Kluyveromyces lactis: one gene and its partners. The protein of the gene in region 7 binds, or shares a complex with, the protein of the main gene of each other region. Links are inferred from orthologs where the notes say so. Each region holds a gene or a part of one and is shown on either strand. Other genes may lie near its edges.

What was found.
Region 1: MRPL22 (region 7) and MRPL32 share a complex: the UniProt entries of both Saccharomyces cerevisiae proteins name them as parts of the mitochondrial large ribosomal subunit. The link is inferred for Kluyveromyces lactis from reciprocal best matches to the Saccharomyces cerevisiae genes MRPL22 and MRPL32.
Region 2: MRPL22 (region 7) and MRPL40 share a complex: the UniProt entries of both Saccharomyces cerevisiae proteins name them as parts of the mitochondrial large ribosomal subunit. The link is inferred for Kluyveromyces lactis from reciprocal best matches to the Saccharomyces cerevisiae genes MRPL22 and MRPL40.
Region 3: MRPL22 (region 7) and MRPL50 share a complex: the UniProt entries of both Saccharomyces cerevisiae proteins name them as parts of the mitochondrial large ribosomal subunit. The link is inferred for Kluyveromyces lactis from reciprocal best matches to the Saccharomyces cerevisiae genes MRPL22 and MRPL50.
Region 4: MRPL22 (region 7) and MRPL49 share a complex: the UniProt entries of both Saccharomyces cerevisiae proteins name them as parts of the mitochondrial large ribosomal subunit. The link is inferred for Kluyveromyces lactis from reciprocal best matches to the Saccharomyces cerevisiae genes MRPL22 and MRPL49.
Region 5: MRPL22 (region 7) and MRPL39 share a complex: the UniProt entries of both Saccharomyces cerevisiae proteins name them as parts of the mitochondrial large ribosomal subunit. The link is inferred for Kluyveromyces lactis from reciprocal best matches to the Saccharomyces cerevisiae genes MRPL22 and MRPL39.
Region 6: MRPL22 (region 7) and MRPL10 share a complex: the UniProt entries of both Saccharomyces cerevisiae proteins name them as parts of the mitochondrial large ribosomal subunit. The link is inferred for Kluyveromyces lactis from reciprocal best matches to the Saccharomyces cerevisiae genes MRPL22 and MRPL10.

The regions. Positions count from the first base shown.
Region 1 is NC_006042.1:1,182,121-1,186,253, forward strand, and holds MRPL32 (mitochondrial 54S ribosomal protein bL32m), read right to left. Parts: upstream 1,568-4,133; coding exon 1,010-1,567; downstream 1-1,009. Other genes in the region: KLLA0_F12804g (uncharacterized protein), read right to left, coding at 1-531; septin CDC10, read left to right, coding at 2,111-3,124. UniProt on the Saccharomyces cerevisiae protein: Component of the mitochondrial ribosome (mitoribosome), a dedicated translation machinery responsible for the synthesis of mitochondrial genome-encoded proteins, including at least some of the essential transmembrane subunits of the mitochondrial respiratory chain.
Region 2 is NC_006039.1:834,191-838,593, forward strand, and holds MRPL40 (mitochondrial 54S ribosomal protein uL24m), read right to left. Parts: upstream 2,366-4,403; coding exon 1,475-2,365; downstream 1-1,474. Other genes in the region: proteasome regulatory particle base subunit RPT4, read left to right, coding at 1-175; HNT3 (DNA 5'-adenosine monophosphate hydrolase), read right to left, coding at 272-1,243; CDC31 (centrin), read right to left, coding at 2,667-3,170; NIP100 (Nip100p), read left to right, coding at 3,439-4,403. UniProt on the Saccharomyces cerevisiae protein: Component of the mitochondrial ribosome (mitoribosome), a dedicated translation machinery responsible for the synthesis of mitochondrial genome-encoded proteins, including at least some of the essential transmembrane subunits of the mitochondrial respiratory chain.
Region 3 is NC_006039.1:790,939-795,068, reverse strand, and holds MRPL50 (mitochondrial 54S ribosomal protein bL9m MRPL50), read right to left. Parts: upstream 1,991-4,130; coding exon 1,586-1,990; downstream 1-1,585. Other genes in the region: KLLA0_C09086g (uncharacterized protein), read left to right, coding at 1-1,200; RSC6 (Rsc6p), read left to right, coding at 2,540-3,925. UniProt on the Saccharomyces cerevisiae protein: Component of the mitochondrial ribosome (mitoribosome), a dedicated translation machinery responsible for the synthesis of mitochondrial genome-encoded proteins, including at least some of the essential transmembrane subunits of the mitochondrial respiratory chain.
Region 4 is NC_006042.1:1,308,244-1,312,293, forward strand, and holds MRPL49 (mitochondrial 54S ribosomal protein bL21m), read left to right. Parts: upstream 1-2,077; coding exon 2,078-2,560; downstream 2,561-4,050. Other genes in the region: SAP185 (Sap185p), read left to right, coding at 1-749; enoyl-CoA hydratase PHS1, read left to right, coding at 1,115-1,759; mitogen-activated protein kinase kinase kinase BCK1, read left to right, coding at 2,878-4,050. UniProt on the Saccharomyces cerevisiae protein: Component of the mitochondrial ribosome (mitoribosome), a dedicated translation machinery responsible for the synthesis of mitochondrial genome-encoded proteins, including at least some of the essential transmembrane subunits of the mitochondrial respiratory chain.
Region 5 is NC_006038.1:66,092-69,837, forward strand, and holds MRPL39 (mitochondrial 54S ribosomal protein bL33m), read left to right. Parts: upstream 1-1,631; coding exon 1,632-1,847; downstream 1,848-3,746. Other genes in the region: TIF35 (translation initiation factor eIF3 core subunit g), read right to left, coding at 1-701; transcription elongation factor SPT5, read right to left, coding at 2,151-3,746. UniProt on the Saccharomyces cerevisiae protein: Component of the mitochondrial ribosome (mitoribosome), a dedicated translation machinery responsible for the synthesis of mitochondrial genome-encoded proteins, including at least some of the essential transmembrane subunits of the mitochondrial respiratory chain.
Region 6 is NC_006039.1:1,032,558-1,037,220, reverse strand, and holds MRPL10 (mitochondrial 54S ribosomal protein uL15m), read left to right. Parts: upstream 1-2,346; coding exon 2,347-3,276; downstream 3,277-4,663. Other genes in the region: WSC2 (Wsc2p), read left to right, coding at 193-1,464; KLLA0_C12111g (uncharacterized protein), read right to left, coding at 3,450-4,490. UniProt on the Saccharomyces cerevisiae protein: Component of the mitochondrial ribosome (mitoribosome), a dedicated translation machinery responsible for the synthesis of mitochondrial genome-encoded proteins, including at least some of the essential transmembrane subunits of the mitochondrial respiratory chain.
Region 7 is NC_006040.1:701,621-705,983, reverse strand, and holds MRPL22 (mitochondrial 54S ribosomal protein uL22m), read right to left. Parts: upstream 2,530-4,363; coding exon 1,630-2,529; downstream 1-1,629. Other genes in the region: RPS3 (40S ribosomal protein uS3), read left to right, coding at 1-359; SHR3 (Shr3p), read left to right, coding at 779-1,387; TDA7 (Tda7p), read right to left, coding at 2,931-4,097. UniProt on the Saccharomyces cerevisiae protein: Component of the mitochondrial ribosome (mitoribosome), a dedicated translation machinery responsible for the synthesis of mitochondrial genome-encoded proteins, including at least some of the essential transmembrane subunits of the mitochondrial respiratory chain.

The DNA of each region.
Region 1 (4,133 bases), on a different chromosome or scaffold from region 7:
GAATTCAATCACTTTTTTGAAAAGCTCTGTATAATCGATCTGAGAACATTGATATGGTCTATATAAGGTGTCAGAGAACAGAATATTATGACACTGTATCAATGCTTCTTGGTCTACTTTCAAGATGGTCTTTCTCCACGAGCCCCTCCACCTTGAACATCCAAACGGCGAAATACGCTCTTGCTCTGGACTTTCCGATTCCAACTTCAAGTACTCCTTGGTATAAATCTTTCTCCATAGTTCCTCATCGTAGGTGTACGCGTAAAGGATCCTAGAACTACATCCGAGGTTCTGCAAGTCATTTGGATCATCGATATATGCGAGTATTTCGATTATAAGATCTTCTGGTAGCACTGACAGAGAGCCTAACAGCTTTTTCCTAAGCTTTCTAGTTTCCTGAGGATCTGCACCCTCTAATAAAGAATTCCCGCTAGGTTTTACCCCTAACGGATGCGTTGGGATGCTGGTAAATACAGGAATCCTGTAATTTGGCACCTTTTTCACTTTCTTGAACTGTCGTGTCGTTGTCATACTGTATGGAAAATTGTCAGCCTTATTGTCAATTTAAAGTGAAACAAAACAAAACAACCAATATCAGACCAAACTGTTAAACTGATGCCAGTTTTCAGGTCCTGCTTAATCCTGTATCGTGTATTCGCACCTCATCTCATCTCATCGCTACTTCAAATCTTTTCACTCATGATTTTTTTCTTTTCAATCTGATCTTTTCTCGACTGATTTTCACGCCTTTAGGCCTGGCATCAAGCCTGCTCTAGGAAAATTTTTGTATGTGATTTGATTCTATGTAGAGTTGATTGTGATGAGATAATGAATCTAACTATTACTACAGGAGGTGAATGCTGACACTGAAATAACCTGCTAAAATCTGGGACGTGTATTCGACATATATATACAAGGTGATGGGGGGATTGAACTTGATAAAAGGTTGTTTTTTTTTAGTCATTTCCGCCGATGTGTTATTTTGTACTGGATTCAATGAGAAGAGGGTTTAATGTGATCCTTCTTTCTTCTCAGATCTCTCCACTGGCAGAGTTTTCATACGTCTCTCCAAATAAGCATCCTTGTCCTTCAGTTTCTTTGTGTATTCAGTTTCTTTTCTACCAGGATACAAGATACGCTTGTCCAATTCAGACAACTCTTGTTCTTGAATAGGCTCCACTTGTTCAACGTTAGTGTGAGCCTTCCAGATGTGACGGATTTCACCCACACAATGCATACATAGCGTATGTGCCTTCTTGTAATGCCCACATGAAGGGCATTTGTTCAAATGGTTGATCATTTTCAGCTGTTTGTCTCCAGGCGCATATAACTTTTGTCTCTTCTTCTGATGCGACACTTTCTTCTTGGGCACAGCTAGAAGGATCCCGTTATTCGTAAAGTAATCCGCTTGAGGTGAAGACTTTTCACGTTGGTTTCTTTCAAGCAATTCCAGCAGTTTCTGTGGCAATGCAGTACCAGCTGCTGGAGTGCTCCAACGAGGCAATATTGATGTCGCTGTTTCCAGCAACACTCTGCTAAAAGATTCCGTTACAGCTCCAAAAGACATCCTCTAATTATTTTCGCTGCTGGTATGATACTATGATGAAGAGGAGAAAGGATAAGTTCAATCGATAGGGACAGATACTAGTTTCTCTAGGTCGCTCGTCTAACTCTGTTTGAACTTCGTCAATTCAAATTGGTATTGACGAATTGGATTATAAGAAAGAATTTTCAACATTACCCTGATTTGGTGATGATCTGTGTCCCTTTTTCGATTTCGATGAAAAAGACGAAAAATCACAAAAACTAAAAATGGAACTCGAAACGAAATAAGTGTGTCAACAAAATATAAGTAAGGAATCAGATCTTGTATTCTTTAGAATAAGTAAGATTGTGATTACTTTTTTTTGACGTTTCTGTGGTTAATTGCTACTCATTGTTTGAATTTTTGTTATTGCGGTTAATTGTTTTTATAACTTAGAGGTTTTTCATTATTTTAACTTCCAAACACTAAAACACGTAAAGCTTTGATCATTTGGATTTGACTTATATACATCTCTACTACGCGAAAGGAATTATTAAAGGTAAAATACACGCATAAACAAAAACAATGGCATCTAGTACTGCTGCAGCTGGTATGACTTCTTCTTCTGATGGGTTGGCTTTGGTAAATCCATCTTCTTATGTTGGGTTTGATTCGATTACTTCACAGATTGAACATCGTTTGTTGAAGAGAGGATTTCAATTCAACGTTATGGTCGTTGGACATTCTGGTCTGGGTAAGAGTACTTTGATCAACACTTTGTTTGCATCTCACTTGGTTGATTCTTCTACTGGTAAGGACATCACTCAGGAACCAATTAGTAAGACCACCGAGATCAAGGTTTCAACACATTCTTTATTGGAAGACCGTGTACGTTTGAACGTGAACGTGATTGACACTCCAGGTTTTGGTGACCAGATAAATAACGACAAAGTTTGGGAACCTATTGTCAAGTACATCAAGGAGCAACACTCTCAATATTTACGTAAAGAGTTGACTGCTCAACGTGAAAGACACATTGTAGACACTCGAGTACATGCAGTGTTATATTTCATCCAACCTAACGGTAAGGGTCTAACAGAACTTGACGTTGCTGCTTTGAAGAGATTGACAGAAATCGCTAATGTTATCCCGGTGATCGCTAAAGCTGATACTTTGACGTTGAATGAGAGAGCTAACTTCAGAAACATCTTACAAGAAGAATTTAAAAAGTACAATTTCAGAATCTATCCATATGATTTAGACGATCTGACCGATGAAGAAGTGGAACTGAATAAAAGTATAAGATCTATTATTCCATTTGCCGTTGTAGGATCTGAAAAGGAGATTACAGTGAACGGTGAACTAGTAAGAGGAAGAAAAACTCGTTGGGGTGCCATCAATGTCGAAGACATCAACCAATGTGAGTTCGTATATTTAAGAGAATTTTTGATCAGGACACACTTGCAAGATTTGATTGAGACTACAGCTTTGATCCACTACGAAAGTTTCAGATCCAAGCAATTGATTGCTTTGAAGGAGAACGCCAACGCTAGAACTTCTGCACACATGTCTCAGACATCAACAACAATGCTGCGTTAATAGGTGGAAAAAAGAGCCGGGAAGACTTCTAGAAGAAACGGCGTCTTTATTTCAAAAAAATGTAGCGTTTTACCGGTACGCAAGAGCTGTGCCAATTATTTTTTTTGTGTTCTTCACTGGTTTGAATCCTGCCCTAGTAAAATGTCGCTTCATTTCCATATATCTTATTGATAATTGGTAATGTCTCTCTATTTCTACTTGTCAAACGTCTCTTAATCTCTTTTTTATATATCACATTCTCTTTTTAGGATTTATAAACCCCATTAGTTAACTATAATACTACATCACGTATAACCAACTGGTAATTAAAGTCTAAGAAATTGGACGGTGCTGTTGTCCTCCCATTTTTGTACTGAGCAGATGTATGCGAATAAATTAGTGTAGACAAGCTCCAGAGTAATCTACAATGTATCATCACTGCATATTAGTGTCTACATGAAGACATTCAGTGTTTAAATTTTATTCCAGATACTAAAATGTTCTATTTTGTCATATCCTCTGGAATCTTTTTTTTATTGTGCTCTTCTACGACTTCTGAGTAGAATGGAGTCTACAGACATTTGGCAGGAGTTTATGGAAGTCCTTAATGTCTTTATTCTGCTTAGAGCGTTTCATATAAAATTCACTATCAATGTATTTTCTGCGCATGGAAAAACGAATAATAAAGCATCGGACACCGTCCAAAACTCGATATACGCTTTCAATATTTGTATGATTGGTTTGGGCATGCAAAGATATGGGCCTTTCACAAAGTGATATTTTGGTCATCTACTAGTTTTGACAACTTGGGAAAATGTTAAAACTAGGATGCTGATTCAGCCTTTCCAGTGCACATCGATGTTCTCTGAAAATAATAAATAGAGTTAGCAACTATCCTTGGGGAAAGAACTCCAGTAAAATATTCTGCAGGATGCATTCATGACTCTTGTAATCCATACTAGGTTTAACGAAATATTTGCTGTTGATCACATTCTAGTAGTGAGTGAATTACAAATTTCTTGTGCGCTGC
Region 2 (4,403 bases), on a different chromosome or scaffold from region 7:
CAAGATGAGTGATGGATTTAACGGTGCGGATATCCGTAACTGTATAACTGAAGCAGGGTTCTTCGCTATCAGGGACGACCGCGATTATATAAACCAGGAAGATCTAATGAAAGCCGTGAGAAAGGTTGCCGAAGTCAAGAAGCTCGAAGGCAAGCTTGAATATCAAAAGTTGTAATGAATATACACACTTGTTTAGGCATCTCAAGTAGATTCATAATTTTAAGATTAAAAACCAACCACTATAGTATAAGCGCTAAAATTGTTGCCGTAATTATGAATCATTAGTAAATCTATTAAACGATGAAATAGCCCTATCTGCAGTTATTAAACCTTTTTTTGACACGAAACGCATATTAAACTCATCTGCTAGATGCTCCTTAAGCTTTGCAAACCGATTCTTGAAGTTAGTGGAACAATAGGGGCATATCATCTCAAAGTTCTTGATATACCTTTCGGATAGCTCCTTGTCACCAGGCAAGTCCAACACAGGTAGTTCATCCCATGGTATAAAGAACGGGGAGTTGAAAGAGTTGAAATGCTTTTTGTGCTTTAATTTCTTACTATGGAAATCTCTTGTCATGACATGTATATGTGTATTAGCCATTGATGGAGTGCTATGTACTCCTGATTGGACAAAATTCGCCAAGAAAGCTTCTTTCTCTTTCAAGGATATATCTTTTATGTCATATTTTTTTATGAATTGAGTCCAACAGAATCGTTTAGCCCAATCAATATGCCATTGAAGCTGCACCTTGATGCCATTGTCGATTGTGGTGGGATGAGAATTGCTGATCTTATGACTTCTTGGCAAAACTAAAAAATGTTCTTCAGATTTAGGGAACTTATCATGTATAATGGTCGCTATGTCGTCAAAGTAGAGTACTTCAGGCAATCGTTCTGGACACAAAACGTACGGTCTGAGACCTATGCTGAACGAGTTCTCCCTGTTTTTCTCGTCACCATGGGCGTTTGGTACATAAGTGGGTTTGAAAATCTGCAGATACTGATTATAAGTCATTCCAGTTGTGATTTGTGGATGGATTTTGTTCATATGGAAACCAATTAAATCTCTGTTCTTGCCGATGAACTGCTTTCGGCAATGTTTACAGTACACAATATCTTTGTTGGCGTCTTCATTTAATTTGAATAAATGAGTCGTAAACCCCGATTTATCTGAGATAGTCCATTGATCGCCTGGACTTTCCTTCCATTCTATAACATATATTGGACCGCACTCATCCATTTGTTATGAACTAGTAACAGTTATCTAATCATTTAGTCATTACTATAATCATAAATTGTTGAGGTCTGTTACTACAAGTAATGACCTTTACGTATAGATTTCCATTCAAAATAAACATGTAGTAAAAAAAAAAGTCAGATAAAAGTGCGATGAAGTATGATATTATGATCTATGTACAAGTAGCGTGGATACGAATGGCAGTTAAGTGCTAGCCAAAACTATTATTTATTCTTATTGTAATTCGAAAGATTTCTTGAAGTGTTGGTAGACCTTGTCACCAATCAATTCTTGATCTTCATCAGTCAATTTACGTTTTGGCAATGCTGCCAATTCTTTTCTTTGTTCGATGTATCTTTTCTTTGCTTCCGTTAGAGGCATTTTTGGAGCCACCAATCTTGATATTTCCTTCGTTGTCAAGGTACCTCTTCTGTATTTCGACTTAGGGTTACGGATGGTTGACAATGCTGCTTCTGGAACAGGATTTTTTACTACGCTTTCAACCCAGAAAGTTTGTTGACGTGCAATTTCAGAACGCGTAGCCAATGCACCATCTGGCTTGAACTCCGGCTTAGGCCATGGAACAACCATATTGTTCTCACCAACAACAACCCTATATGGCATAATTTTCTTGTAATCTGAATCATAATACGAACCCTTGAATTCGATGTCACGAACAGCAACAGTCTTAGCCACACCTGGAGTCTCTGGATCATCGAGATCAGCGACTAGTTTGATGTCCGCTTGGCTCACGGGGACAGGGAAACTCACCATATGACTGTTCTGCCCCTGTTGCCAAAATTGCTTGGGCACAGGAACAGTGTTGGTGGGTCCATTCTCATCCAAAATATACCCGTTTGTATGCACGTCGTGCTGCGTAATGGCACAAACATTGCCCTTAAACTTTCCATTTACTATCACCACTCTATCACCTGGCATATATTTCCATTGCTTTACACTCTTATACTTCTCGGATTCTTCGACACGAGGCAACGATGGTTTCAAGAACTCTGGCATCGTCAAACCTTCATACTTGGCAAATTGTTTCGCAATATTAGAGTTCTTCGCTTGAACTTGCTCCAAAAAACGGGCACCAGCCTTCGATAAATGTTTATATGAAGACATACCCGCTGATCTATTTTATTCTAGTATCGAATACCACCGTCCTTTTCACAGAACATAAACCATTTGTGGTTCATTCCATAGTACCATATTGATACATATGTCTTTCTTGATTCCGTTCCTTCAAGTTTTTCATCGACAAATTTTTTTGGAAGGGAAAAATGAAAGCACGTGATCCGAATTAGACTATCAGATTCTTCGCATTTGATTTAGTATTATAGCTTGATGTTACATAGGATATACAAGGTGAGATATACATGCGGCACAGGGCTCCAGCTGTGGCAATGGAAATGGTCGTGAAGCACTAATTGTCAGTGCATATAGCAATGAACTCTTCTTCATTGATCTCTCCGTCATCGTCAAGATCAAACTCATCAATCATGGCACGTAGTTCTTCGTCTGTAAGGTTTTCACCTAGTTCGTGAGCTACACGTTTCAAATTCTTCAATGAGATCTTGCCCGTGTTATCATCGTCGAATAGCCTGAAGGCACGTTTAATTTCATCCAATGGGTCTCTTTGCAATATTTTTTCTCCTACTACCAGGTAAAAATCCTCGTATTGTATTAACCGGCGTCCGTCTGCATCATACCTATCGATAAGTTCTAATATGTCTCCTTTACTGAGTTCAAAACCCAATGCCCTTAGAGCGACTTTGAATTCATGATAGTCGAGATATCCATCATTGTTCATATCAAAGAGTGAGAACGCCTCGTATATTTCTTGTTTCTGTTCTTCTAATAATTCCTTTTGTAAAGTGGATTTATCCACGGATTTCGCTACTCGTCCACTGGGCCTTCTGTTATTCATGTTTCTATGATCCGAATTGGGTTAGATTTCTTGCCGTTGTGAGTCTTGGCTGTAAGTCAATCGAACCTCTTAATTTACCTCTTTTGCTGCACGCGTAAACTTCGTGAAACTTCTTTAAAATATGTTTAAAGATTTCATGTTTATGATTATTTTGACAATATTGAGTTTAAGGAACATAAACACATATCCTGAAAGAAATGAAGGCAATAACTGATGAATACCTTACAGTACTGCCAGATCAACTACTCTTTAGTTCTAAAATGAAACAATGGATCTGGAATTAGGAGATAGGGTAGTGCTACGCAGCCTGGCAGGAACTGTACGGTTTATAGGCGAGACGCAGTTTGCAGCGGGGATTTGGATCGGTGTTGAGTTAGATGAACCCTTAGGGAAGAACGATGGTAGCGTCAAGGGAGTCAGGTACTTTGAACTCAGTGAGGGTAGAAAAGGTCGGATGTATGGTATATTCAGTAGAAGAGAGGGTATCTATAAAAATTCTGCACCGAACTCGCAACAATTTCAGGATCCTGATACTACGAATTCTAACTCATCAGATCCCGAACGATTGAAAAAGATCATTGGAAGATTGGAAGTTAAACTCAAGTCAGTTAATGACAAATGTATTTCGTTTGAAAAGGAGCTGGGATTGAGATCAAAAGAGCTTGAAAAAGTGCAATTTCTCGAGGAACAATTGGAGAAATTAACTTTAGGACGAGATGAGGCAGAGCAACGCAATGATTCACTGATATTTGAATTAGAAAGCTTGACCATTGCTCATGAAAGTGCTTTGAAGGAGCTTAATGATTATAAAGAAGAAATTTTAATAAGAAGAAAAGCAGACGTTGATGTCAACACTGATCAGATAGAATCAGTAGAATCAGATGCCCTTATCAAGCAAAACAGATTATTAACGGTTGCACTACAAAAGCTGCAATCAGACCTAACAGAAATACAGAAACAATGCAACGGTTTGAAAAATAGTAATGAAGAACTGCAAACCCAGGCAGAGACATATTTGCGAACAATATCAGCCTTAGAGAGTAAACTATTTGAAACAACAAAAACATTAGATGAATTGAAACAGCACTTCAGTGCGAATAGTAATTCTAATAACATCATTGAATCTCTTACTACAGAAAACCATCAATTAAGTACGGAGCTTGATTGTCTTAAGTCAGAGTTACTCAAGTTGAAACAAACTCAATTGGCAGATGAAGAACTAGAAGCACTTTA
Region 3 (4,130 bases), on a different chromosome or scaffold from region 7:
AAAGCTATTGACTATGTTAATGCATTGAACAAAGACTTTTATATCCTTTCTGTTGAAGAACAAAAGGAATTAGGACTTTGGGGCAGAGTGACTGCTTATAATTGGACCTTTGAATTGGCTTGCATTGGTCTCATGGCTATCTTATTTTTCATTTCTTATTATGGTAAGACTCTGAACAATAAATATGCCGATAAGATATTTGGTACTTTGAACACATTCTTGTTAACAAAGTTATCTTTTACAAAGGTTGGTTTTAGTGCCGATGGCAAGAAGATGCCATATATTGAGGAGCAAAATAACACCTGGTTCACATCTTTTGCCACTGGTCGTTCTACTATTGAAAGCGTAATTGTTAAGGCACACTTGACGGCTCGTCACAACCCATTGGCATTGTTAACTCAAAAGGCATTAGCTTTGTTTTTACCAACATTAGTTGCCAACGACATTGAAGAATTCATCTCAGTTACCATTACTCCAAATGGCCAATTCGTCTCTACTGAAGATGCTAAGCTAACTGCCAACTCAGCGGAAACTTTGTCCAAATTGAAATTCATCACATCTATCGTTAACAAAGCAGTGATGACTAAAGCTCGTGACTCAAACTACTTTTTATCATTGACCCATACCGCTGAAAATGAATCTTTACCAGCAGACTATGTTTTCATGTCCGAATCAAATAAGTTGAACGGATTTATTCCTCACTATGCCGGTGAAGATTTCAAGGTGTTGCTATCTAAATCTGCCAAGTTCTTGAAGTTTATTTCTTTCACTGATTTACCAGAAGAGAAACCGATTACTGACAAATTATGGGAGTCTTCTCAATTGCCACGTTGTGTCATCTACTTATCCTTGGTAACTTCTGACAAAGATATCGAATTGTTGGAGGAATTGATAACCAAAGTTGTCGAAATTTATGACAATGTTACTAAGGATATTCAAACTAACTCATCCAATTCTTTCATCACCACTGATATTTTGAAGAAGGGTATTCAATTGCGTAAAGAAGAGTTAGGCAAGATTGTTAAAGTCATGCAACAGGTTGAAAGAGAAATGGCTCTTGAAAAAAAACAAGAAGCTGAGAGACAAAAGAGAAAGGATATGAGAGACAAGTTGACCGACCAAGAACTTGATAAAATGGAGTTGAAGAAAAGAGAAAAGAGAGAAAGACGTCTGAGAAACAAACAGAAAATGAGAATTTAGAAAGTTCATCACTATTGGGGTTGTTTCTCATTCTCGTCTCTTTATTTCCAAAGCAACAGTTAAAGCTGATCAAGAGAAATATGCTCGTCCAGGTGATGAGCGTTCCTGTAGTAATAACTCTCTTGTCAATCCCCATTTAGTATGAATCATCCAGATCTACTGTCCACGTTATTACTTCAACTGGTAGCGATTGGATGCAACGAACTTTCTTTATTGTTTTCGCAAGTTATTTTAATGTAATTTATGTACAAGTGTATGAATGTGCCTCTGAACCGCAATGGGGACGAGACGTCACGAACAACATCCATGATCATTATTATTTTGTAAGACATTGGTATCTCAAATGATCCGCGTAAGGAGGAAAAAAAAGATAAAACATTTACTATCATAAGTCTAATCCTGGAATCTTCACATTCTCGATAGTTATTTCTTCGTTTAATGCTGACTTAGGAGTTTCTGGTGTCTTATTTTCTTCCTTGGATACCTGCTTAGCCTTCTTTACGTTCTGTTCAGTCTTCTTCACCGTTGATTCGGTTGTTTTTAATAAAGCTGCTGCTGATGCACGTGATCTCTTAGCTGAGGTCAACAGGGCTTGGTCAATATCAGTTTCCTTTAGAATGTAGCGGGCTCCATTATAGTTGTGCAAGAAGTTTCTCATTAGTGAGGGCTTGACATTTACCACCTCGCCGGTATGAAATTGGAACTGAGGAAAATCTTTTAATAACTGTACCTGTACTCTCTTTGTACGTTTGGTTAAGGCAGAAAGACACGATGATGTCGGTCTGAACATTTTGCTGTAATATTTTAAAAGCCCTTGGAGCGTGTGCAGTTATTGGAATAGCACTTCAAACACAATTGACGCTATTTTTAATTCCCTGCTTATGGTTAACTTTTAGATTGATCTTGTTCTAATGTGATTTTAAACTATCAAAAATTTTTGAAGCTTTAAAATCATATCTAAGTGCCAGCCTAGTTAAAAGATGTGTACATAAAAAGAAGATAAAAGATTGGTTTAGCGAGTGACAGCCGTTCATACTGTACTACTCCGTGTTTGTAACCTTTGAAATACTTATTTATAAATGAACTGCGTAATGGATACAATCTAACCTAATACGATTCGCTATAAAGTATTGTATGGGTGTATGGGTGTATGGGTGCTTTCGTTGTTTCAACATCAGTTTTTCGAATTATTCAATCAACCTAAACAAAGCATTCACTAGCTTTTGGTACATTAACTTACATGCATCAACTTGTATAGATGAGACATATCATCTGCTTACCTCCTAGTAGAATAAACTAAGCTACCGCTAGATTGAGATTAAAGAAAAATCAAAATCAAATGTCTGCGGCACAGAGTGGAGCAACGGTTGAACATCAACAGGCACAAACTGTGCCAGTTGCACAACCAACTGACATGTATATCCAACCGTATTTGAAGAAATTAATACCAGAATTGGATGGGCTAAGTAAGTTACAAGAGGCTGAGAAGAGAATTGACATATATTTAAGTCGTAAAAAAATTGATTTGCATCAGAATATTACTCAATGGACTCATTCCAAATACACAGATCCTGCGAATAATCAGTTTGTTCGTGTTTTCATTTCTAATATTTCTGAGAACCAGCCATGGCAGACGAACGATGAGACCATGGAACTTGATCAAGCATCATGGACATTGCGTATTGAAGGTAGACTGTTAGATAATGGGAAGGCAGACGATCCAAATAGGCCTAAATTTTCCTCCTTTATAGAAAGCGTCGCGATAGATTTCAAACCTGTAGAGGAAGATCAAGATGATGAAACTGATCAAGAAATGGGAGACCCCTTATTAGAAGGGACACAGGAACCTAGTGCTAAAAAGCCAAAAAATGAGCAAACCGTTTTTGAATGGCATGTGGATCCTAATACTCCTGTAGAGTTTGACGGTGTTGATGTTTCACGTAAGGGTACTGAAAACGTTAACTGTACCATCACTATCCAACCAAAAGGGTATACAGGGGAGTTCTTACAGTATTCACCAGAACTATCATGTATTGTCGGATTCTCAAAAGGAACCTTTCATGAGGCGATATACTCTCTTTACAAATATATTCTATTAAACAGTCTATTGACGAATAACGACGAGGCGGGACCAAAGGATTCCACAAACGGTGAGAAAGTCTTAGTGAAAATGGATGCTTCATTAGCAAAGCTAGTGTCTCCAGAAAGGCTTGCCGCAGGCATTGTTTCTTTGAAGCTCGCCGATTTGCCAAGTCTAGTGAAAGATCATGTAAAACCGATACCTCCAATAAGACTTGACTATACTATTCGTGTAGATCAGTCTTCCACTTTCGGAGATTTGGTATTTGACATGGAAGTACCTAAATCAACGTCAGTTAAAGGCGACCAAAAGTTGTCAAAGGATGAATTATTGCTATTGAATGAATACAATACGCTATCAACTGCAATCGAACCACAAATACAAGAACTAAATCAGAAAACACAACTATTACAACTACAACTAAATTCAAGCGCAAAGAAATACCAATTTTTTGATAAACTAGCTAAGGATCCAGTTCCAATGCTACAAGATTACATGGAATCGTCATCGCAGGCTCTCAAAGTGTTATCAGGGGATGCTGGCTTCAATGAAGATACAGTGAGAAGATCACAATTCTACCAGGACAACGATTCAATTCTTTTTGAAAACATTGGAGTTCTACTTTCAAGCGGAAGAATGAAATAATTTCATTCAGTATTTTATCGCTTTCATCATAAATATATGTATACCGTATACAACGTATACCTTGGTAGTTCTTCGCAGAGCGGGCCCATACTTCGTGTATTCAACAACCGTATAGAAAACATTTGTACTATGAAATCGTCTAAAATGATTAAAATCGTTCAGAAAATATTGAAAATTGTATTGAGTCATCTGTAAACCTCTGCTT
Region 4 (4,050 bases), on a different chromosome or scaffold from region 7:
ATGATGCTATAAATGAAAACGAGAAAAGGTTTGTGAATGTGAACGGGTCCCTGGAGTATGACGATGCCGATGAGGATGAAAATCCGAATGAATTAGGTGCCGACAACTGTTTCGTTTATGAAGACAACATGGGTAATAAGACAAAAATCCAAGTACGACTAGACAACAACGATGAGCATGACTCGTCGTACGGTGGAGATTTGAATAAGTTTAGCAACTACATGTCAAATCAGATTAAATCCGGCTTAAACATGGCTGACAATGCCGAGGAAGAAGACGAAGGAGACGAAGAGGAAGATATTTGGAATGGTGAATCATCCAACACATTCCAACCGCAAGTCCCCAATAAAACCTTCTTCAACAGCTCCATGTTCCATTCCCACCAATTTGATCTGTCACCTGACGATGAAGAAGATTATTTAGATCCTAACGACGATGGGCAATCTTATGCAAAACCAAACCATCCTTTATACTCCAGCATGTTATCACCGGGTGGTATGCCCTACGATGCACCAGACGAAGAACTCAACGATCTTGATGTAAACGACGATGATGAGGACGACGACGAAGATGATTTCGATGCTGATACTGATGTTGGAACACATAGCGGCATTTCTCATCGTTCGAATGAATACTCCCTGCGTCGTACTTCCAGTAATGATAAGATCCCTTACGATCTCGCTGAGCAGAGTAGTAGAGCAATGGGAATGCCTGCTTTGCAAAGATCAAGCTCACATGATACAGATTAACAATGCAGCCTTATCCCCAAACACGAATCCTTATCAACACAAATTGATATATAATAAACATTTACTTTTCCTCTGTTTATCGTTAGTTCAAGTAGTAATAATATTAATAATAGTAATAGTAATAATAACATACGAGTAACACTAATTCAAATCTTAATTCTCATGTCATCAATACATACTGCAATTTGTTAATTTGGGTATTGTTGGATTTCTCTTCCTTTTCGTCTCAATGCATCACTTAATTTTATGAATCTGAAACCATGAATTCTTGTTATTGACAAAAACTGGTCTGTTTAGAACCGAACTGGATCTTAATAAATTGAACCCCGAAGTCCAAAGAGCCCACCAATACACTTTCACACCCAATGGCATCATCTAAGGCTTCTATCTTCTCCTTCCTTCCTCTTTACAACCTACTTTCTGCTTCTGCCTGGGCTTATGTCCTATATCAAGTCGTGACCCTTTACCCAAAGATCGGTCAACCAAGTTTCTTTATTGCTACCAAGGATTTAGTCACGTACGTTCAATGCGGTGCTATAATTGAAGTCACAAATTCTTTGTTTGGAATAGTCCGTGCTCCGCTAGTGACCACTGCTGCTCAAGTGGCCTCTCGACTCTTGGTAGTCATCGGTATCTTCCAGTATGTGCCGGAAGCAGAAAATGCGCATAAAATATATTACATCACGTTGTTGTCGGCATGGTGTATTGCTGAAATAGTGAGGTACATGTTCTACTTCTTCAACTTGGTGGCTCAAGCGCCTACTGTACTTGTTGTATTGAGATATAACATGTTTTACGTGCTATATCCATTGGGCGTCGGCAGCGAATTGTTCATAATTTATTCTGCATTGCCGTTGGCTGAAGCAAAATACAATATCTTGTACAAGTATTTCTTAATTGCAGGTATGCTAGCCTACATTCCAGGGTTCCCGGTGCTATTCTCACACATGGTTGCCCAAAGAAGGAAGGTCATGAGATCCTTGAACGGTGATAAACGCAAATCTGCATGAATTGTCACAGGATTAAAAGAATAGTTTGACTCATGTATAAAAGTTCTGTAACATTTGTAACATACCCGAATGAATGCACAAATGAAACGACGCTGTCCCTTGGCGTGGCCGTTGGCTCTTCCTTCTCATGACTGTGTGTGTGCCCTACTTTTCACGTCACGTCACGTGACTGACATCAACACTTAACTCTCGAAGGCTCAAAAAATTTTCTGTTGAAACAGTATACGACTAGTTGAACAACATTTAAGACAAGTGAGAAGAAGCAGATTGAAAGGGCTATTGCATCTGCCAATTGTCGTTCGAATCAGTGCAGAAACGATGTTCAAGAATATCAGTCATATGTTTGCCCTCCCAGTAAGGCAAATGGTGGGTTTCAGCCCATTTCTTCAACCTTTGAAGAGAAGTTTCATCAGAACAACACACTCGGTAGCAGAAAAAGCGAAGGTGAATTTAACGCCGTTGAAGTTATCCAATGAGCTATATGCCGTATTCAGAATACACAACAGACCATACTTGGTGACAGAAGGAGATAAGGTTATCTTACCGTTTAAACTGAAGCAAGCAGAGGTCGGCGATGTGCTAAATTTGACTGATGTGACTACCATTGGTTCTCGTAACTTCAAGCTCGTGGACGAACCTATTGATCCATCTCTATACACTATTAAGGCTACAGTTCTTGAGAAGACAAAACGCCCGCTTAGAGTGAGAGAAGTTACCAAGAGAAGAAACAGGAAAGTGCGTCATGCGGTCAATAAAGCCGATTTGACTATTCTGAGAATATCCGAGCTAAAAGTCAATTAATGAACTAACCCTCCTACAAAATCGTGTAAATAAAAGTTTAATATAATGTTAGGTCGTTATAGATCGATTAGAAATACTATACCATCTAGTAACTATGTTTTAGTGGCAGCATCTCATCGAATTTGTTAGAAACGTTTACCGTTTTAGAGAATAGATATAAATTCAAATAGAAACAATTGTAATTAATACCATTTTAATCGTTAATAAAGAGGGGAGAAAGACGATAAGAGAAGAGCTTAGTGCAACAATTACTGGGTATCGATACTTTAGTATCTGATAAGTAAAGTCCCGCTAAATATAGATGAACCGTGGATGATATGTCTTTCTTGAAGAAGAAGAGTAGCACTGCTGGACATTCAAGGTCAGGATCTGCCTCATCTATACTCAACAAACATGTTGATCCTGCCAATATCAGTGAGTTTTATCCATCGTCATTGGATCACAAGGTGACCAGTGGTTTGAAGAACGATTATAGTTTTGATTCCAGCAGCAAGGGATCCAGGAAGTCCTCTGGTGGGAGCACCAATTCGTTAACATCTGAGCGACTATTATTCAATTGGGATGTCACTGATCCGAGCCAGTGGACGATGCCCAGGATAATACAGTGGTTCAGAGCTAACGATTTCAACGATCAGTGGATTACATTTTTCAAGAGGAATAGTATAAGCGGGAATAAGTTCTTGAAACTTCTAGCTTACGATAATTTTGCACCATACGAGAAGTCCTTACAACAGTCCAAGAGTTCAAGTTACGAAAGGTTTCAGTACTTATTGAAGAAAACGCTGGAAGAAAACGTGGTGAAGGGAAACAACAGGAATGGTAATCGGATTATCAATAATTCAAGGTCGTCGAGTGAGTCTGCTAAGGTCAGCCAAAGGTTATCGACATCTTTTTCTACCCATATAAGAAGTACATCAGAATCGGCGCTGTTGAATATTGAGAATATTACGAAAGACAGTTCTTCTAGTGAACCTACCACATCAAAAAAGCAAGAAGCAAGCAATTACAGTTTACCCTTGAGGCAGGCAAAGACCAATAGCGCAAGTGCATTATATAGACGAAGCTTGATCAGCTTACGAAATGCATCATCTACGAAGGATAACGCATCTAAGAATGATATCAAGATAACTATACCCCCAAGACCTCTATCTACGACAGAAAATACTAATAAATCACCGACAACACCATCATCTGTTAGTCCCTCTCATACAGCTTATACCGGTATTTTCAGGCGACAACATAAGACCAGTTCTTCGGAATCCTCCCTGTTTACTTCGATTTTTGGACATGGTGTGGTTGAAGAGCCTGAGGAAACTCCTAAACCCAGACCAGTTGAAAATAGAAGGATTCCTGCCGCATCTACAGTAAATGCATCTACTTCGAAACAGTCGATTAACGTAGATGATAAGGCTAGGTTGTGGGATAAAATTAAGCGAAAGGGACAATTACCGGCAGAACCTTCTTCTCAGCCAGCAGCAAGAATAATCATA
Region 5 (3,746 bases), on a different chromosome or scaffold from region 7:
TGGAAAGTAACGTAAGCAACACCACGGGATCTACCAGTTTCTGGGTTCTTGACGACGAATACTCTAGGAATCTCACCGAATGGGAAGAGTAATTCTCTTTTAAGCACTTCTTCATCTGCAAGTTCGTTAACCTGGGTCAATCTAATAGTCTTTGCATCATCACGTTCTCTTTGGTCTTGGTAAGCATTAGAAGATGGATCACGAGCACCAGCACGTAGGGATGGTGGCACGTATCTGCCAGAGCCAGAGCCTCCTTGAGCGCTCATATCTCCACCACCGATAGCCGGGTCTAAACCAGCAGATGTAGTAGGTTTCTTTCCCAAAGTGTCTTTGTACGGACAATGCATGGTGAAATGCGCACCACCACAAATTCTACAAGTAATTACCTTTTGAGTCGAGTTAGCAGCCTTCTCCTTTGCCTTTTCTTCTTCCATTTCCTTCCAGTTAGGAGACAAGTCTAACTCTAATTCTTCACCTAATTGAGTGGTTGAAATATCTGGTCCTGGGGCAGCTCCCTTATCAGCACCATATTTCTTCCAATTTCTTCTCAAGGCGATGTTCTTGTTAACTTTCTCGGTGACAGTAATTTCCTTAACCTTCTGCGTAACCTTGTACTTCTTACCATCTTGGATTTTGAAACTGATGACGGTTTTGGAACCATCGTCATTCTCGATGATTCTTGGTTCAGGAATAGCTGACATGTTGTGAATCTTTGTATTATCTCCTTAAAAAAATAGGATTGTAGAAAAAATTCCTTTAATTTCTAGACGCGTGTTATACTATCAACAATTAAGAAGCCCAATTCTGATTTGAGGTATGTCAAATATCCTCCTTTCAAGTTATGGGTCTGTAGATAATCTGATCGATATCAATTAATTCTCTTTGAAGAAAAAAACTTCGCACAGATGATAGTCTCAAATTTTTGTTTCAGTTCTTTATTGAAACACGTAAATCGGATACACTTGGCGCAGTATACTCCTTTCTTCTATCAAACAGCTGGATGAAACCCTATGCACCTTCTAGGGTCACCTTACCATTACGTTTATTTTAGCAGGTAACTTAGAACTCATTTGAATTTCCATTTTTTTCTCTTCTCTTTCGCTGATTTTGCCTCTGTCTCTATGCGATGAGCTTTGGAAAATTTTCAAAATTTTCATCAGTAATGTATATCGTGTTGCACGGGTGTAACAGAGATCCGTAAGCTCCAGCACTAATTAGTTACCTTAATTATACCGTACTGTGTACACCAATCAATTCAGTTAATACCTTCTTGTTGATAAAAGCGTAGAGTAACTATATGCGAATACTTAACTTGACTTGTGAATATGTATCTGTTTCACGTGATATGAAGTACGGATCATTTTTATGTATATTGCATATTCATCAAAACGTATGTAGTGATTTGACAAAATTTTGATTATCCATTACTTCTTCTTTAGCAATGTATCCGACCCAATCAATACTGAAAGTAGTGGGAGTTCATCAATTTCTGCATAGGACGGTGTATCATCGGAAAGTATTAAGGGCAGAAAGTAATATTATCCTGCGTACTTCTCTGTCTCAAATTCAAATTCAAGGAATTTCACAGAGCTAAGGATATCATATATAAACTGCAAACGAACAGGAAAACGATGGCCAAGGCTAAGACAAAGACTACAGTTATCAAACTGATATCAACTGCTATGACAGGTGTGAGCCGTCATGTCACGATAAATAGAGCTGCACCATTAGTGACGCAGGTGAGGTACGACCCTGTAGCTAAACGTCATGTTTTGTTCAAAGAGGCCAAGAAAAGAAAGGTTGCAGAGAGGAAACCATTGGACTTCTTACGTACCGCAAGACGTTAATGAATTGTATTTAACAATTTAACCACACCATTTGCATGTATATAGAAAACACTCACACTGCAATAACTACCGTTGAAATAGACGTGATTTAAGAGTTCTATAGTAGTATCGGTTTGTAGTAAAGAAACGAAATTTTTAACTAAATTACATTTACTTAATTCACTTATTTAATTGGTTTCTGAGACTAATTTGGGCAAGACTATATATACAACATCCACATCGCGTGGAGTAATTTGGAGATAATAAGATGAACAATTGATAGGTTTGTAAATTATCGTGAGGCAATAACTTGTATGATTATTTCTAATTATTTCCACCCCACGTACTTCCACCACCTCTAGCATCCTGATTACCCCAAGCAGATCTATTGCCGCTATTGTTGTGTTGGGATGCATTGCCCCATGCGGATCTCTCTCCTGAGTTATGCTGCGATTGATTGTTACCCCAAGTGGAACTTCCACCGGTGTTTTTAGATCGTTGTGATTTATTACCACTGCCACCCCAGGCAGAGACACCTCCCTGGTTACCACCCCAGGTAGAAGTACCTCCATAGCTTGATTTATTGCCACCGCCCCAGGCAGAAGCTGCTCCTGATTCTCCGCTTGCTGCCCAAGAAGAGGCGCCTCCATAACTAGATTTATTACCCCAAGTGGACGCACCACCCCAAGTTGATGTAGCACCTTGCCCACCCCAGGTGGAAGTGTTTCCAGCAGCTCCACCCCAGGCAGAAGCACCACCAGGGCCTTGTCCGCCCCATGTCGAAGCACCACCCCAGGATGAAGTTCCTCCGTTCTGGCCAACCGCAGGAGTTTTACCGCCATCAAATGCATTCCAACCAGGAGTCATTCCACCAGGAAGTTGTTGCGGAGTGTTCGTTGCCACCGCACCACCGGCAGCCATGTGTCTTGGTGCACTGACATAGCTTGGGCCCAATCTGGTATGTGGAGTTCTACCACGTCTACTAACAAGTTCATCGTATGTTATACCTTCACCACCTTCATGACTGAAGTAAGTAAGTTTTCTTTTGTCTATTGTAATATGCTTATTTTTGGAGTGCAATTCAATAGTAGCCTTATCTCCATTGACGTCTTTGACAATACCCAACTGCCCCTTGTATCCCGCAGAACGTATCCTAACAGTTTTGTTCAAAGCGACGTCACGGCCAACTAACCGCGTCTGCTGAGTAGTTTGTGGTGGTCCCATCTTAGACGCAATATTTGGATTTATTTTAGATAAATCCAATGCTGACGACATCAAGTTTTCTTTTGAGGCGACAGCCTCGACATTCATTGGATTAACAACGAAAACACCGGCATTTTCCGTTATTGTTTTCGATCTAATGAAAATATGTTGGTTTTGAACGTAGAGTACTTGTCCCTCTCTACGGGAACCGATCTTTTCTCTTACTACATCGCCAATTTTTATTTCTCTACCATTACCATCGACAGCAGCTACTTTCGCTCTTGCTACATTGATCTTGGCAAGAATTGAGCCTTTAGTAACAGTAGCCACTTTACCGGAGTCGTCAATAATCTTGAAAATATCATGTCCAGCCTGGATCACACATGCCACGTTTTTGGCACTTAACTCAACAATGTCATGTAGAGCGTACTCGCTTGATGTCGGAGTAGAATCCATAGATTTACTCAAGTTATTCGCAGAGATTGTCAAATTTTCTCTAGTTTGGTCAGAAACAAATGTGACTTGACCGTTCTGCACCAAAAGAACCAAACCAGCGTTACCTTCATGTTCACCAGCTATTACTGTGACATGGTCACCAAGTTCGAAAATTTTTCTTAGAGATGCAATTGGGAACTCTAATGATTTATCTGAAAAGCCCGATAGTTTAACGCTGATGACGTCTTTAGAACTTCTAGTCACCACACCTCTAGATCCACG
Region 6 (4,663 bases), on a different chromosome or scaffold from region 7:
CACAGTTTCAATATAAACAAACTCTCTGGCACACTTCCTTCAAAGCAATTATCTAATTGTTTTCGAAACGGTCCTTTGGAATCGATATTTGTCAGAACCATCATCAACATTCTCTTCCATCGTGAATTGTACGTCGGGTACGTTATTTGACAATTGCAATAGAAAATAAACTGCTCAACGCATATTCCTATAATGTCAAGATTACGTTCTGTTCTTCTATTAGCTGTGCTTCCGTTAATATCTGCACAGTATTCCTATCAAGGTTGTTATAGTGAAAGTGATATAAGTAGTTCGCTGTCCAGTGCAGGTGAATACGAATACCAAAGTGTCTCATACTGTCAGGAACAATGTAATGGGAAAAGTGTTGCTGCGTTAATTGATGGTAACACATGCTATTGCGGTGATGCATCTTCCATTAGTGCTTCAACTGTTTCTGACTCAAACTGTCAAGTTAATTGCGTCGGTTATCCATATGAAAAATGTGGTGGTGAAGGGTACTTTGCTGTCTATTCAACAGAGGATATCGACTCAGATGAAAGTTCCAGTTCCAGTTCGAGCACGAGTTCAAGTTCAAGCTCAAGCTCAAGTTCCAGGTCGACTTCAAGTTCAAGTTCAAGTTCAAGTTCAAGTTCAACTTCTTCCAGTACCTCATCCAGTGCAACCTCAACAGATTCTTCAAGCACTGCCGCTACAACGTCATCTTCTGATACTTCAGGCACTTCTTCTAGCACTGATAGTACGCTTTCATCTTTGTCTAGCTCCATCGCCTCTACTACCAGTCATTCAAAAGTTGTAACAACACAGGTTTCAGTCATTACTTTAAATGGTGAGAGTAGGAGTATTGTTGCCGTTACAACTACAAGTACCGTCGTGGCAACCACAGCCGAAGGTACCAACACTGCAAACTCTAAAACGGAGTCAAATAAATCTTCATCATTGTCTAATGGTGCTATCGCTGGTATTGTTGTGGGTGTTGTTTTGGGTGTGTTACTGATCGCAGCAATTATCATTTTCTTCATCTGGCAACAGCGAAAGAAAAGTAAACGGTCAGACTTCGAGGAAAGTAAGCATTACCAACCTTATTCGTTTGGTCAAGAAGAAGACATCGTAGTCCCACCAGTTACCGGAGGTGGATTTGGCGCTGCTGCTACTTTACCAAACTCTCATTCAGCATCATCATCCTCTGATAGATCTGGTGTAAGTCAAAATAGGGAGAAAAGATTGGATAATAATGGAAACGAAATCAGTGATTCGCAAATCGTTAGTCCGTTTGGAGAAACTATGGATCAACCAGACCTAACACAACCTCCTGTACGTCCGACAATGGGAAATCCTAGATTCAGCAATGGTTCTTTACCAGATGTAACTCAACAAAGGCGACCGCTAAGAATCGCCAATCCAGATGAGCTGGATGATGAGGATACAGAATTCAATTCGATCATCGAAAATCTCAGGGGAGATTGATCCTGATACAATATAACATCATCTTTTTAACACATTTCGCTAAGATAATAGCATGATATACCCAATATCATCCCCTTGTTGTTGTCAAACAAAACAAACGCCAAAAGGAAATATTCCAAATATAAAACATCAACTAAGGCCCACAATAAGCCATGTTCCATACTCACTACTGATACTTGATACCCCTAATGAAAACTATCAACTGAGGATCAGTTAATTGTCTAACACTATAAACAAGACAAGTCACAAAATATATCGAAACGATTTATGTTATACTGATAAGTTGGGCTTTCACATATGTACATATATAACGTTATAATACTCATTTAATTTCTTCACATTTTACTTCAAGGTATCTTTATAATGGTTAATTGTCATGTTTACTGTCGGGAATTATTGTGCTACATTTTCATCTAGGGTAATTGTTTAAGGGATCCAAAAAAATGCTTCCAACCAGAGTCGAACTGATGATCTCCACATTACTAGTGTGGCGCCTTACCAACTTGGCCATAGAAGCTGTTTCTTGTCATAAAAAGAATTTACCACTATATACTCCTACGAGATTATTGCCTGCTACCAATTCTTTTCTGGTGGACCTAACCTATTTTGAACTGAGGAATACGCAGTTTATAATGTTACAGCTACATTTTTGAAAAACGTGATGCTAAAATAATAGTAGGTTTACTGAAATAGTTTCGGCTGTTTCAATTTGTCAATCTGCTAGGCGCATCTAAACACTTACATCAGCATTGCATACCCTCTTATCGTCTCCAAGCTCCCTCTGTGTCCTAGCGAATCTCAGCATTTTAAAAGGTTACCCGAATACCTAATTTCGAAAATTTTTTAGAATGAATATGGTTAACTTACAAGAAATTACTGGAGATGATTTGGATATTCAATGAATCTACTGGATATCTACTATTATCGATATTTAATAGCCCTATCTCGAGGTCTCACAATACTAGCACGATGTTTTCGATCAACAAAGTGGTGAATCCCTTTGGATCACTTATACAGAGATCATTTGTACGCCAAATCACGATCCTTGGTGGTTTAAAACCTGGTGAAGGCTCTAAGAAGAACTACAAAAGATTGGGTAGAGGTCCATCCAGTGGCAAAGGTAAGACTGCTGGTAGAGGTCAAAAGGGTCAAAAGGCCCGTGGTTATGTAAAATCATGGTTTGAAGGTGGTCAAACCCCAATCTTCAAATTGTTCCCAAAGCTAGGGTTCACCAACGTAACATCACTAAAATTGAAAGAATTAAACCTTGATAGAATAACGTGGTTCCACCAAAAGGGTCGCCTACATTTGGAGCCAGGTGAAACCTTGACGATGAAAAAGATGAAAGAAATCGGTTTGGTTACCGGCCCGATCAAAGATGGTATTAAGATTCTAGGTGATGGTAAATTCTCTTATAATCTTCCAATCAAGATTGAAGCTACTAGAGCTTCACAGGATGCAATTGAGGCAATCGAACATGCAGGCGGAAGTTTCACTGCTCGTTATTTCAACCGTCTTGGTCTAAGAGCCCATTTATCACCACATTGGTTCCTAGAAAAGTACGGAAGAGTTCCTCTACAAGCTAGACCCACAAAGAGGAAGGATATTGAATATTACTGTAACGAAGAAAAGAGAGGTTATTTGATTATGGAAAATGACCCATACTATCAACTTTTGCAGAAATCCAAAGATGAAGGCGGTAAAAATTTGGTTGCTCGGAAGACCAAGAAGTCCAAGCTTGAGTTGCAATTAGAGCAACTTGAGAACGATTTTGCTCCTGCTTCTCCAAATTCTGAAATTAAATCAAACTGAACATCATATAGCAATATAGAAATGCCCTGTATATAATACACATCATTCAACGCCATTTCTCCAGATTTATACACCATATCAATCAAATTGATATCTGTATTCACAAGTTGTAGCAACTTTTGTCTATTTAATGCTCTAAAGTCTAAAAATATAAGAATGAGCTTGTCTCACTTTTACACATCGTTTTGTGGAGTAGAAGACTCTGTGTTTTTGTTGTCCAACAATCTTTCTTCGAGAACCTGTAGGGCTAACTTTTTCCTTCTTTCTTCCGCTTCAGAGCCTTCAACAGGCTTAGCACCCCTCTTTTGAGCCAAAATGTTAGCTTGTTCGATATCGTATACTCTAAACGGAGTTGCAATACGCCAATCAACAATAAACTTCTGGTAAAGGTAATCAAATATTGGCTCAAGTACTGGTTTGACTAAATCCGGGAAGAAATATATCAATTGGAATGTCTCAGAGGCATCTCCTACCACTTCAAATTCAGCATCCTCAGCCATCGAAGCAGGTAGCCTCTGATAGAATCTCAAGTAGAAATAACAGGTGAAAAAAGTGATCCAAATTGATAATAACTGAGAGAAGTGGTGGAACCACAGAAGTTGCACAAACGAAAGCACAAGTAGAGTAAATATTGGCAGGAGTTTAAATCTGAAATTCTTGGAAATGAAAGGTAGATTCTTAGTCTCGAAAATGGTAGTTTCTGGGAATAACTGTTTGTAGATAATAGGGAACCCCACCAAAATTGTATAATTACCATCCAATGGTAAATCCAACCTTATTGCTGACGAAAACATTGATAAAATTATTGTAATTAGAACGACAATTAAGTTCGTAATGGTACCCAAGATTAGAACAAATTTGGCCAATTCTCTAGGGCTTTGCCAGAACCTTTCAATGAATGAACCACCTATAAGCAAATTAAAGAAGTTTAGCAAAAACTTCCATGGTTCTATGTCGACTAAATTGGAAAATACCAATGAAAGTGGGTTATAGAAAACCCTATTTGGCACCATTTGGACAAATGGAACGATAACCAATCTTGGATCCATATCATTGGAAAGTGCCTCCTTGATGTACCGAGTTCTGACAATTGATAAAGCAATAGTCCAAGCAACGTATGTGAAGGTCAACCAGCCAGTTGCTGGTGGAATTCCACCAAGATCCAATGCTGCATCAGGGAAATATATATCGAAATGTCTCGATACAAACTTCATTATGGTGTAAATTGAGACACAGTTGGTGTTCGAAAAACGACACAGCCAAGTTTAGGAAAGAGATGGTATCCTGAACAAATAGGAATTGCCTCTAAATGTTGTAATGCAGAGGTTCAATGTCACTTCAAAACTAATGTTATAATAGGATATATATAAACATAAATTGATGAAAA
Region 7 (4,363 bases):
CTTACGGTGTTGTCAGATACGTTATGGAATCTGGTGCCAAGGGTTGTGAAGTTGTCATCTCCGGTAAGTTGAGAGCTGCTAGAGCCAAGTCCATGAAGTTCGCTGACGGTTTCTTGATCCACTCCGGTCAACCAGTCAACGACTTCATTGAAACCGCTACCAGACACGTTTTGTTGAGACAAGGTGTTTTGGGTATTAAGGTTAAGATCATGAAGGACCCATCTAGAAACACCTCTGGTCCAAAGGCTTTGCCAGATGCTGTTACCATCATCGAACCAAAGGAAGAAGAACCAGTTTTGGAACCTTCTGTCAAGGATTACAGACCAACTGAACCAGTTGAAGCTGCTGAATCTGCTTAAATCAATTGATATCTGTTTGATTCTATATTATTAATTAGTCTATTAAATACCGTTCTTATATGTATAAATATTAAGAAACTCATCAATTCTTTTAAAAATAAGTAATCTATGCCCAGATGACATCGATTAAAACGTCCTGCTTTTATCAATGGATTTTTAAAATGATTTATCGATAGCGCCTTCCGATAATGCCTTTCCGCCTTTCAGTTCCTTTATCTTTCATACTAATCAAAAAAATTCGGTGGGCAAAAATCATGTAAATTATTAAAAAAAAAGAGAATATATAGTGCGTACTGAAAAAACCAATGGCTCAATTATAGATGAATTGTTAACCATTTAATACCACACGTAGGGTCTATACGTTCCATTTTTAAGAGAACGTAGGTATCGCTCACTAAACACATTGACTGAAAGTAAATATGGGCCTAACTTATAAGGATTTTTGTGCTGTAGGTACAGCATTGATCATTGGATCAACTACTTTTTTGATGGGGATCTTCTTTTCTAATCAACCATATGACTATAATATCCTATTCAATCCTGCTGCCACGCCGGAGCATTTTGAGAACGCTTTGAAACACTACCAGACTCTATTCTACACGGCCAAGCCAACCCTTTATATGCTTGGTGCGGTGGCCATTGTGGGAGTCATTGGTTCCTTGATTAGGGTATACAAGCCAAATCCAGATTTGCAATTATTTGAATACGGTTCATTGGCTTTGTACGTTTTGGGTATCTGTGTTTTCTTAACAAATATCAAGACCGGTGTTGAATCTGCGGTTTACCATAACTGGGGTGAAGTCTCTGAGGCGCAAGGTATTGCTGTTGTTGCCTCTTCCAATATCATTATTTTAATTGTCTTTGCTGGTGTCTTAGTGTTGCAAGGAGGTTTGTGGTACAGTACCTGGGAATATGAACAAAGATTAGATCAATGGAGGAAAGACCAATTGAAGGAATCTGCCGCTAACCAACAGAAGGCGGAGAAAACTACTGAACCAGCTAAAACGGAATCTAAGAAGAAGAAATAGACGAAATTTGTTTCCTTACAGTTTGATGCGGTGAAGTATTTCGCGTTGCTTTCACTATTTACAAGCTCTTGTTCTATATATTATATAAATGATATGAAATACTTGGCTATTCCGACATGGATAACTTGAGATGAAACCCAAAGACAATCTAAGGACCTTATTATTGATGATTTAATTGCTGTATATTATCTTCACCCATTATCATTGGAAATAAACGTAATATGATAATGTTTAATATCTCATTACCATTTGTAAACACCACCCATAGAACCTCTGATGGGTTTATCTGCTAATTGAACCCACGGTTTCTTCCTTTGTTCTTTTAGTTTGGCTTCGTGCTCTAGTCTTCTCTTCGTTACACTCTTGGTCTTCAATATGCATTTGATATGCACATATGGGTGTTCAATGAGACCACGTCTACCTCTACCCTTCCATTCGACACGTTTTTGCCAAAATCCATCACTGCCGGTCCATATCTGGGAGATGTATAGGTCATTGGCATCCAAGCCAAGCTTCACACCATCATTAATACCGCGCTCCAATAATTCGGCAACATCACGGGCAACCTTTTTATCGGAGAAATGACATTGAGTCAAAGCTTTCTTAGCGTCCAATCCGTTCAAAAGTCTAAGCAGCTGTGTGGCCTTCTTCATAGATGATTTTACTCTGTAAGATTTAACATAGACACTAGGTTCAAGCACTTCTAATTCTTCATTCGTTAATCTCAAAGAACGATCTTTAGGGCGCACGCTTTTGTCGTAAAACCCACCGTTCAACCTAACCTGTTGTTCATAGAATTCCTTCTTAACTCTTGGTAACAAAAATTCTGGTAAACTTTTGATCATGGGGTCTTGTTCTTCGATATATTTCTGTAATTGTGTATCATTGGCTGCTGTAACTTTCTTTTTAGCCTCTGCCAGCTGGGTAGCAGCATCCAAATCATCTGACAGTTCGGTAGCAGTAGTCAACTTATTAGATAGTTTATTTGGATCGTCATCCTTCAACGGATTCACTCCATCGGTGACTTCACCGAATAGCGAACCTTGTGCAGATTTTTGTAGCTGCAATGCTGAAGCTTGAAAACTTCTTACACCGGAAGCCTTTCCCAAGCCGAACAGGCTAGTTACTGTCCTCGATAGCATTAAATTTTATATAGGTTGAACTGATGACAGAGCCTGCAACTAACCATGTAATTTACACGTGCCTCTAGTATTATACTGTAGGCATTTTATTACTTTGATCAATCCTTCTTCTGTACAATGTTTGATTATCAAAATTTTTTTGTTCGATGGTTAGGAAATATAAATCATCGTGAACGGGCATGAAGATATAAGGAATGGTTCTACTGTGTGGAGGAAGATATTGAAGTCCGACTATCTTGACGGGTTGTAAGATCACAAATTAGAAAAGCGTTAGTGTGGAATTGCTAGGAATTAAACCTTAAATATGAACTATATAACTGAAGATGCACAAAGAAGTATATTGAATAGAAGGGAAAATTTAAGTACAAATTTGAAAACTTTGTAATTAGAGTTTGGTAAGATCAGTGTTCGATTAGTTCCGTTAAATATCCGTGAGCGTTCTGTGGGTTTTCATCGTAAGTAACTGACATTTCAGTGTCATGTGTACCCTCATCGGTGGAAGATGACACAAAGGATGAATGTAGTGATGTTGTGGAAGGCGTCTGAGACTCTGGATCTGCAATCGATACAACATATTCGTCGTCGAATGGATTTGTCGTCTGTGGCCTCCTGACAGAATCTGCAACATATGGAGGCACTGAGGGCAAACTTTTTGAAACTTTGTTATTATTATGAGCAGTCGTCGATACTCTGGTTGTAGTCTTGGTGGTTTGCTGAGACTGTGCAATAAACGTTCCGATATCGTCGTATCCCATTTTTCTCCCAATGTCGTGGGAGAAGCTCTTTTCGTGTTCGATAAGATTTCTCCTTCGTCTCTTCCTAAATAATAAATAGATCACCAGTATCATTAGCGCCAGACCTCCCACGCTTCCTATTACACCACCGATTATTGTATCTTTATTTGATCCAGACGATGTTGAGTTGGAATCCAATGCGCCAGATAGCCATCTTTCGTAAAAAGATGTGTCAGTCACAACTGGACCTGTAGGTGTAGTGAAAGTAGCCTCTGTGGGTATCACTGTAAGTGTCGGTAGTCCTTTAGTAAAGGTGGTTGAAGTGTCAGTAAAGATGAAATCTCGTGTGTAATAAACCACAGTTTCAGAAGACGGTACTTCAGTGGTCAACGTTAACCAAGTCGGTGTAGGCACAGTGGCAGTAGCTTCTGTACCCTCAACAGATGTGTATTCTTGGGTCGCGGTGTTCTCGGGATAAATTGTTTGCATTACTATGTTGCTCGGTCCTGAGCTCATCTCAAGTACCGTCACCATTGCCGTGTCTACATCTGTATGCGACGTTGAATCATCTGTTGACGGCGGTACCCAAACTGTAGATGGCGATACTATGCCAGGTGAATCCGAATCCGAATGTGATCTGTTTGGATATACCAGAACCGTCCTGGTCTTCATACCATGTGGCTGCTGCGTAGAATTTCCTGAGTCAGGGTTGATGTAATCCGTTCGTAAACTAGCAACGCTTTGTGAGAACGACTCCGAACTTTCTGTCAGTGTATCTGACGAAGAAACAACAGATGAATAATCAGTACCGTCAGTGGTAGTGTTGAACAACATCTTTAGGTGAACTGGCCAGTGAGATCCTGTTATAGATCTTGAAATTTAATAGTTTCCTTGGTACAACTGCTTTACGCTTGTAACGGTTTTTCGGTAAAAAAAATGATGTAGCAATCGACTTCACCCTTTCTCAAGCAACTAGCAACTTATGTATCGTCACCCACTACCTTATAAGTCCTGCCTTAGCGTCCCTTGATGGATGTATAGAGAAGTTGACGACGTTACCCTCGCCTATTTCTCCTTATGCAAGGCTTCTATTAGTAGAC